Linked DNA regions of Saccharomyces cerevisiae S288C. Changing the gene in region 2 together with the main gene of any one other region gives a genetic interaction. Each region holds a gene or a part of one and is shown on either strand. Other genes may lie near its edges. The genes, in order: YPS7 and YPS6.

What was found.
Region 1: of YPS6 (region 2) and YPS7, changing one enhances a phenotype caused by changing the other (phenotypic enhancement), as found in Saccharomyces cerevisiae (one study listed by BioGRID).

The regions. Positions count from the first base shown.
Region 1 is NC_001136.10:1,172,237-1,176,171, forward strand, and holds YPS7 (putative aspartic endopeptidase), read right to left. Parts: upstream 1,941-3,935; coding exon 150-1,940; downstream 1-149. Other genes in the region: ATP22 (Atp22p), read right to left, coding at 3,884-3,935.
Region 2 is NC_001141.2:430,351-434,285, reverse strand, and holds YPS6 (aspartyl protease), read left to right. Parts: upstream 1-2,174; coding exon 2,175-3,788; downstream 3,789-3,935. Other genes in the region: seripauperin PAU15, read right to left, coding at 1-357.

The DNA.
Region 1 (3,935 bases), on a different chromosome or scaffold from region 2:
ATCACAAGTACTAGCTTCTACACAACTGGATAAGAATGACGCATATATACTTTTAAGTATGTTGTTATTAAATCTGCTATATAATGATGTTATACGTGCATTGGTCAAGGAGAAAAAGGTTTTATGTTATGAACTTTTGTTAAAACCATTCAAAGAACAATAAGTATCGAGAATATCGAAAGTAGTAGCAAGGAAGCTATACGAGTTACATGTCCAGCTGGATCTTTGTTAAATGTATAAGGACTGCTCAATCGAACGCCTGCTCCCGAAGCACTGCTGGTTCTATTAGTTGAATTTGACCACTCTTCTGAGGCTGACACAGAAAAGCTGTCGAATTGAGTACTGGATGGTCTAGCACTTGTGCTTGCTCTTGAAGTATCATAGAATGACCGGCCCGCACCTGTAATCACACCGTTTGAGTATGCTGCTGTCAGTTGACCTGGGACAGTGAACATATAGCCTGACCTATAGGATGGATAAAGAGTCAAGTTTCTTGTATTACTACTATTCATCACTTTTGCGTAAGGAATGTAACCAGATTTGATCTTCTTGATGATAGTGGACGCGGTAGTTTCATTTGTCTCTTCAGTAACTGCGTCATCTTCAACCTTCTTTGCCTGTGCAATGGCTATAGTGTTATCCTCTAAGTCCATTGCCATATATATATTTTTTATGAAGGCTTCTCCGAGTATGTTTACTCCAGTATTTGTATTAGCGTATAGTGTTAGAAAACAAGCTTCCTGTCCAGAACTGAAAAACATTGAAGAATTGGTGGATGTATCGTAAGTAGATGATAATAAATCACGTAGGGGTATTTCAATTGTCAATTCTCGAAGCCTGAAACCCAAGGAGACACCCATATCTGCTATAGAACATTGGACTAGCCACCTATCTAGTGATTCCACATAAGTGGCCGCAATTTGAACGGCAATCTGAATAATGGTACTAGTTGGCAGGTAACTGACCGAAGAAGTTGAATCAAGTAAGGCTGGGCTCAGAAAGTCCTTCGAAGTCATATTCAAACTTTGTCCGCTGTTAGACACAATATAAATAGGGCCTAATGGCACAATTGGGTACCCAACACTAACAGCATTACTCACTGGGTCAACGTAAGGAATTAAGTCAAATTTTCCCAGTGTACCGGTAAACAGCGAAGGATCCACCCCTCCAAGAAGTAGCTTCCCACAATTAGATATTGGATCTCTATATGTTTTGTACGTGGAAGTGTCTCCAGCCAACCACAGTGAATATGACGAACTTTCAATGATATCTGCATCTTTCAATAAGGATAGAAAATAAGACTGTTCTGTGTATTGTGAGCTATCGATAGCATTGCCTGGGTTTGTGACCTTCCCGCTTAAACCTAACAAGCCTGAAGTCTTAAAGTTCGAGGACTGAATATCAAAGAAGGAAACGTTTGAAATGGATAGGCTCCCCGAGTTAAATTGTACGTTATCTCGAGTTACCATTAAATCGGTTATCAAAGCGGTCGAGGAATTTTCTGAGGAAACATTTGTAAAATTCATATCGTCTGTCACCAAAGTACAGTTAACAGCTCTACCATCAATGAAAGAAATCTCATATATTTGGCCAGGAGAAACAGGAACAGATGATGTAGAGTCATTCATGAGGTAGCTGGGATGCTTATGATATACACCGGAGTATTCGTTATGACTTTCGCTTGTTCCGGAAACCAGATTTATGTACGGTTGGATAATATCCACTAGCAAACGTTGGCGTTGACCGGGAGTGCCAAATGTGCTATTAACATAGTAGTTTCCTCTACCATCTTTACCCACGGCTAGTACAGGAAACGGCTCCTCCGTTGACGAAGAGGTTCCAGACTTTGCTGTAGTTGTTGTATTTGCAGTACTAGCCGTTGCAAACTCTAACTGAAAAGTTGATATGAGCCACAGATACCATAAAATTAGGCATGTCATAGCAAAAATCAACGGCAAATAAAGCAAGCACGCAGTTACGATACGTTCAAAGATCTTTCCAAGTTCTGTATCCTTCTAGAACGATTAGTCTAATGCAACTGATATGTCCAACATTCTAAATATAACTTATTTTGGTATTAGCTGCATCATTCTACCATGATGAGCTGCGGCGTTCAATATCTCATTTTTTTTTGTTCGGGGTAACGAGGTTCATTGTTGCAAATAGCACGACCAAACGAGCGGTATGATACAAAGCACTGCAAGTCATAGCTGAGGTAAAAAAAAAAAGAATGAAGATCTCATTGTTTGGGTTAAATTACTTTCAAGAGCCTCTTTTTTAGGCTCGGTTGGTTAAAAGAGCAAGAACCGAAACACTAGTGCATCAATTTTTATAACAATTTTGTAATTATGTTGATAATTGGCAGTAAAGTTACAAAATACACACTAATTAAAATATTGAACACTTACAATATAAAGCTGATATCAAAATAAATATCGAACAATAAATACAACTCTCTCCAATATCAATATACTGCCGTCGTTATTTAAAAAATTAGCCCACCTGGGAACATTATAGAAAGAGATTTGTTTTTTGGTCTGGCAATGTGTCATAATCAAGCTCTTTGCAATATACATCCCCAACTCATATATTTGTATACAGGAAGAAGAATCGACCACCATCTATCGACTAGCATATTATCATATACGGTGTAAAAAGATGACATAAAAGATGAGAAACAGGGTAATCCCAACAATTGTCTCAATATTTACCTATTTCTCACATTGTCACCGCTCGAAAGTGCATTTTATATACGTTCTTTTGTGACGACTACTTTTGGCGGGAATCTTAGCGCCTTAAATGCAGTGAAAGATTACTCTTTTGAGTTATTGCCTGAATTTTGTCTGCAAAATTGTTATTATTCAGGAATTTAGAATAATTCAACTCTGGAGGCCTGCGCTGTACTACGGGCTCAAGTAATACCGGAGTGTCTCGACAATCCTAATATAAACAGTCTTAGGGAAGTAACCAGTTGTCAAAACGGTTTATCAGATTAATTCACGGAATGTTACTTATCCTATATATTATATAAAATATGGATCATACTAAATGGTGGAAGCGCGGAACCTTGGATCTAAACTGTTGGAATAAGAATCCACTATCGTCTATCAACTAATAGTTGTACTATCAATATATTATCATATACGGTGTTAAGATGATGACATAAGTTATGAGAAGCTGTCATCGAAGTTAGAGGAAGCTGAAGTGCAAGGATTGATAATGTAATAGGATAATGAAACATATAAAACGGAATGAGGAATAATCGTAATATTAGTATGTAGAAATATAGATTCCATTTAGAGGATTCCAATATCATCGAGGAGAACTTCTAGTATATTCTGTACACCTAATATTATAGCCTTTATCAACAATGGAATCCCAACAAGTCTCTCAAAATACACCCATTTCTCATAAACCAATTGTTCAGGCATTTATACGTTTAGATAGCCCAGCTATAGAAGGCGGAGTTTTACCTCATGTTGCTCAATCTGTTCGTTTTCTTAGGTTTCATATGTGTTCTATGAACGTTCAGGATAATGTATTGTCATGCTGACGTATCCCATTCTGAGATGTAACGTCTGTACAAAACAAAGCTTCAGTAGCTCAGTAGGAAGAGCGTCAGTCTCATAATCTGAAGGTCGAGAGTTCGAACCTCCCCTGGAGCATTTTTGCCGAGCACGGTACTTTTTTTTATTCTCAGTAAATGAAATCCAAGGGCTCATTTATTTGAGAAAGTAAATAAGGTATTAGAGGTAATAAAGTAACCATGGGCCAAGAAGACATATTCATAAACTTATGAAAAAACTTTGTAGGTATTAATAACTTATGGGTAAATTACTATCTATGAATGAATATTTACTATTTACTAGTGCTCATCTGGATATTAATTTAGACTTTTCAACGTCTCTCTTATAATATTTGTACATTTATTAACA
Region 2 (3,935 bases):
GTAAATACCGTCCTTAGATAGAGCACTGGAGATAGCTGGTCTCAATCTGGTAGAGTACCATGGAACACCAGTGATAACTCTGGTGACTTGTTCAGCTGGAATACCAGTCAACATGGTGGTGAAGTCACCATAGTTGAAAACAGCTTCAGCAATTTCAACTGGGTAGGTCTCACTTGGATGAGCTGCTTGAAACAAGTAGTATTGGGCCAAATGAGCTCTGATATCGGAGACGTAAACACCCAATTCGACCAAGTTAACTCTTTCGTCAGATGGAGATAGAGTGGTAGTGGCTGGGGCAGCGGCAACACCAGCAGCGATGGCGGCGACACCAGCAGCGATTGAAGTTAATTTGACCATTATATTTGTTTTGTTTTTTAGTGCTGATATAAGCTTAACAGGAAAGAAAGGAATAAAAACATATTCTCAAAGACATACAGTTGAAGCAGCTCTATTTATACCCATGCCTTCATCAGTCATCACTACTTAAACGATTCGTTAACAGGTGCTCATTTAGCACCTCACATATCCTCCATATCTCATCTTTCACACAATCTCATTATCTCTATGGAGATGACCTTGTTTCTGAACGAATCATACATCTTTCATAGACTTCGTATGTGGAGTATTGTTTTATGGCACTCATGTGTATTCGTATGCGCAGAATGTGGGAATGCCAATTATAGGGTGCCGAGGTGCCTTATAAAACCCTTTTCTGTGCCTGTGACATTTCCTTTTTCGGTCAAAAAGAATATCCGAATTTTAGATTTGGACCCTCGTACAGAAGCTTATTGTCTAAGCCCATATTCAGTCTGCTCTAAACGGCTTCCATGCAAGAAATATTTCTATCTCTTGAATTCGTACAACATTAAACGTGTGTTGGGAGTCGTATACTGTTAGGGTCTGCAAATATGTAAACTCTCGGCGAAGGCCTTGGTGCAATTACGTAATTGTAGCCGCTGAGAGGCGGATGGTATTGAGAGAAGTTGATATTCAAAGAATTGATTATGATAAAAAAAAAAAATTGTAACCAATCCGTAAATACTGAAACTCTTTGCAGTAAGAAATCTTTCATCCCCAGAGAGAACGCGGAAATATTCAGCCTAAGTCTCTCCAAATTGATTTCTTTCATTTTGGTAGCGAAAGACTTAGTATCAACCTCAAAAAGTTGAAATTTTTGTAGATATATGTGCGGATGACATGAAGTATCCAGCTCCTTTGTGAATATGGAAGCAAGTTTCTTTCAAATTATTATCGACTTTTCCTCTGCCCCTTTTACCTTATAACTTTAGGAAACACTACCCTATCCATACTCAACTAAAAAAGTAGTACGTTTTCTTCTTTGAGAGGTATGGTGCAAACCAGTGCAATCTGATTCCAGATTGCCCTCACGTGAGGCTTCAGTAAATCTCGATCCCTCTACATATTACATTATCTCCTACTTGGCAAAATAGATGTGGCTTTAGTTGATGAAAATTTACCACGTCAACTATTTATGTCCTTTCTACAATAAACCCCGACCTACTATCCTCTATGTTGTTTTTAACATACCATACGAGCGTCATATGTCTTTTGGTTCACTGGGGAAGACCATCACTGTTGAACGTTTGTTGAAAAGTTCGAGATGATGAAGATTGCATAACAAAATGTAAAGTTATTTTTAGAAACTATAACGGTTCAAGACATTCAACACTATAACATAGCTTGGCTGGCTTGAACATAAAGAGGAAGAAGCAAAAGCAAGAGTAAAAAGCTTCTCATTTATTTCTGGCATTGTTGATCACCCAGTGCAAGCCCAATTTCGCCTGTGCTTTTCTTAAATTGTTTCTGACAACACCGAGGTTTTCGCTGCAGAAAAGGAACATATGGTGGTAATTTGTATAAGGGGTTAAGGGTCCAAAAATTTGCTACCCTGTCGCTCACTACAGCAAAATATCTCGAGATATCCGAGGAGTTAAAACTGACTAGACCTGTTGCGTAAACCTCATGCAAGCAGTACTCTTCGAGGATTTAAGCTTTGGAACTGCTTTCAAAGTTGAGAGTATATAAGGTGTTATGATCTTGGAATAGGGTTTTTCATCGTTCTTCCTTGTTCTCTTTTTTCATTGGTTGATCAGTTGTTAAATTTTGTCTCTTTCGAAAATAAGGATATTTGAAGACAACGCAAAGCTATCAATATGCAATTGATTTCCATCCTCTCTTTGTTGTCATCATTGATGTGTTCATTGACCGTTTTAGGGTCTTCCGCAAGTTCCTATGTTAAGTTTCCTGTTCAAAAGTTGGCTGATATTATAAATATATGCACACAGGATGTTTCTACCGTCTTCAAAAGAAATGAGGTTCTTAACACCACAGTGATAAATGGAATAGGAGTGTATGTTGTCAAGATGGAAATCGGAACGCCTCCACAAACGTTGTACCTACAGTTAGATACTGGCTCTTCAGATATGATTGTGAATAATGCTGACATTGCCTATTGCAAATCGATGTCTGACGGATCTGACTACGCTTCAACTGATAATTACGAGCTCACAGCAACGTTCAATGGGCTTCCTTCGACTACCATCTCATCAGAAGCTTATAACACTCTCTGCTCTTATTGGGGTACATTCGATGCAAGCAACTCATCTACTTTTGAGAATAATGCGACGTTTTTCAATAACACATACGGAGATGGTACGTATTATGCAGGGACTTATGGTACGGATGTTGTCTCTTTCGAAAATATTACTCTAAATGATTTCACTTTTGGTGTATCAAATGATACAATAGGCAATCCAAGTGGCATTTTAGGCATATCGCTTCCCATTGCAGAATTTACAGATGGTATCGAATACGCATTGGCATTGAACAGAACACCTTTCATATATGATAACTTTCCAATGGAATTAAAAAATCAGGGAAAGATTAATAAAATAGCGTATTCTTTATTTTTGAATGGACCTGATGCACACTTCGGGAGCATCTTGTTTGGTGCAGTGGACAAAAGTAAGTACACAGGACAGCTTTACACCCTGCCTATGCTGCAGGCATTCAATACCCTTGGCTCAAATCCTGGGATGATTATTACTGCACAAAGTGTGGCAATTTTGGATAGTGAATCTGGCAATAAAACTGTTTCGGATATTCAATTTCCAGTGATGTTGGATTCTGGCACAACTTTCTCCTATTTACCCACCGAAATTGCAGAAGCAATCGGCAAAAGTTTTGACGGAGAGTACAGCTCTGACGACCAAGGCTACATCTTTGATTGTTCAAAAGTGAACGATACTTTACTGTCCGTCGACTTTGGAGGATTTAATATATCGGCAAACATATCCAATTTCGTAACATCAGCTAAGGATCGTTGCGTTTTAAATGTTAAGCAATCCGAGTCCACTTATATGCTGGGAGATGCTTTCCTTGTCGACGCATATGTAGTCTACGATTTAGAAAACTACGAAATTTCTATTGCTCAGGCTAGCTTTAATAATCAAGAAGAAGATATTGAGGTTATCTCCGATACTGTCCCAGGTGCCACCCCTGCTCCCGGATACTTTAGTACATGGGTATATAAGCCCGGTAGTCCCATCGGAACAGGAGATTTTATTAATGTCAGCTGGACCTCGTATTCGGAATTTTCACAGTACAAATCATTGCTTGCCACCGCAGCCCAAAGCGATGATGCTAGTTCTTTCTCAAGTAGTGGCGGCTCTAGCGAAAGCACCACTAAAAAACAAAATGCAGGTTACAAATACCGTTCTTCTTTCTCCTTTTCATTATTGTCCTTCATATCTTATTTTCTTTTATAAGTAGAGAAGAGATACATAGTTTCGCAGTGTGTTACTGTGTGGGACTGTATAGGTGAAGCCCTATATACTGTGTAAAAGGCGATGAAACTTTATTATGTTATATATCACTGCTTCATATAAAAATAAGAAACCTACAGCGTAATGATT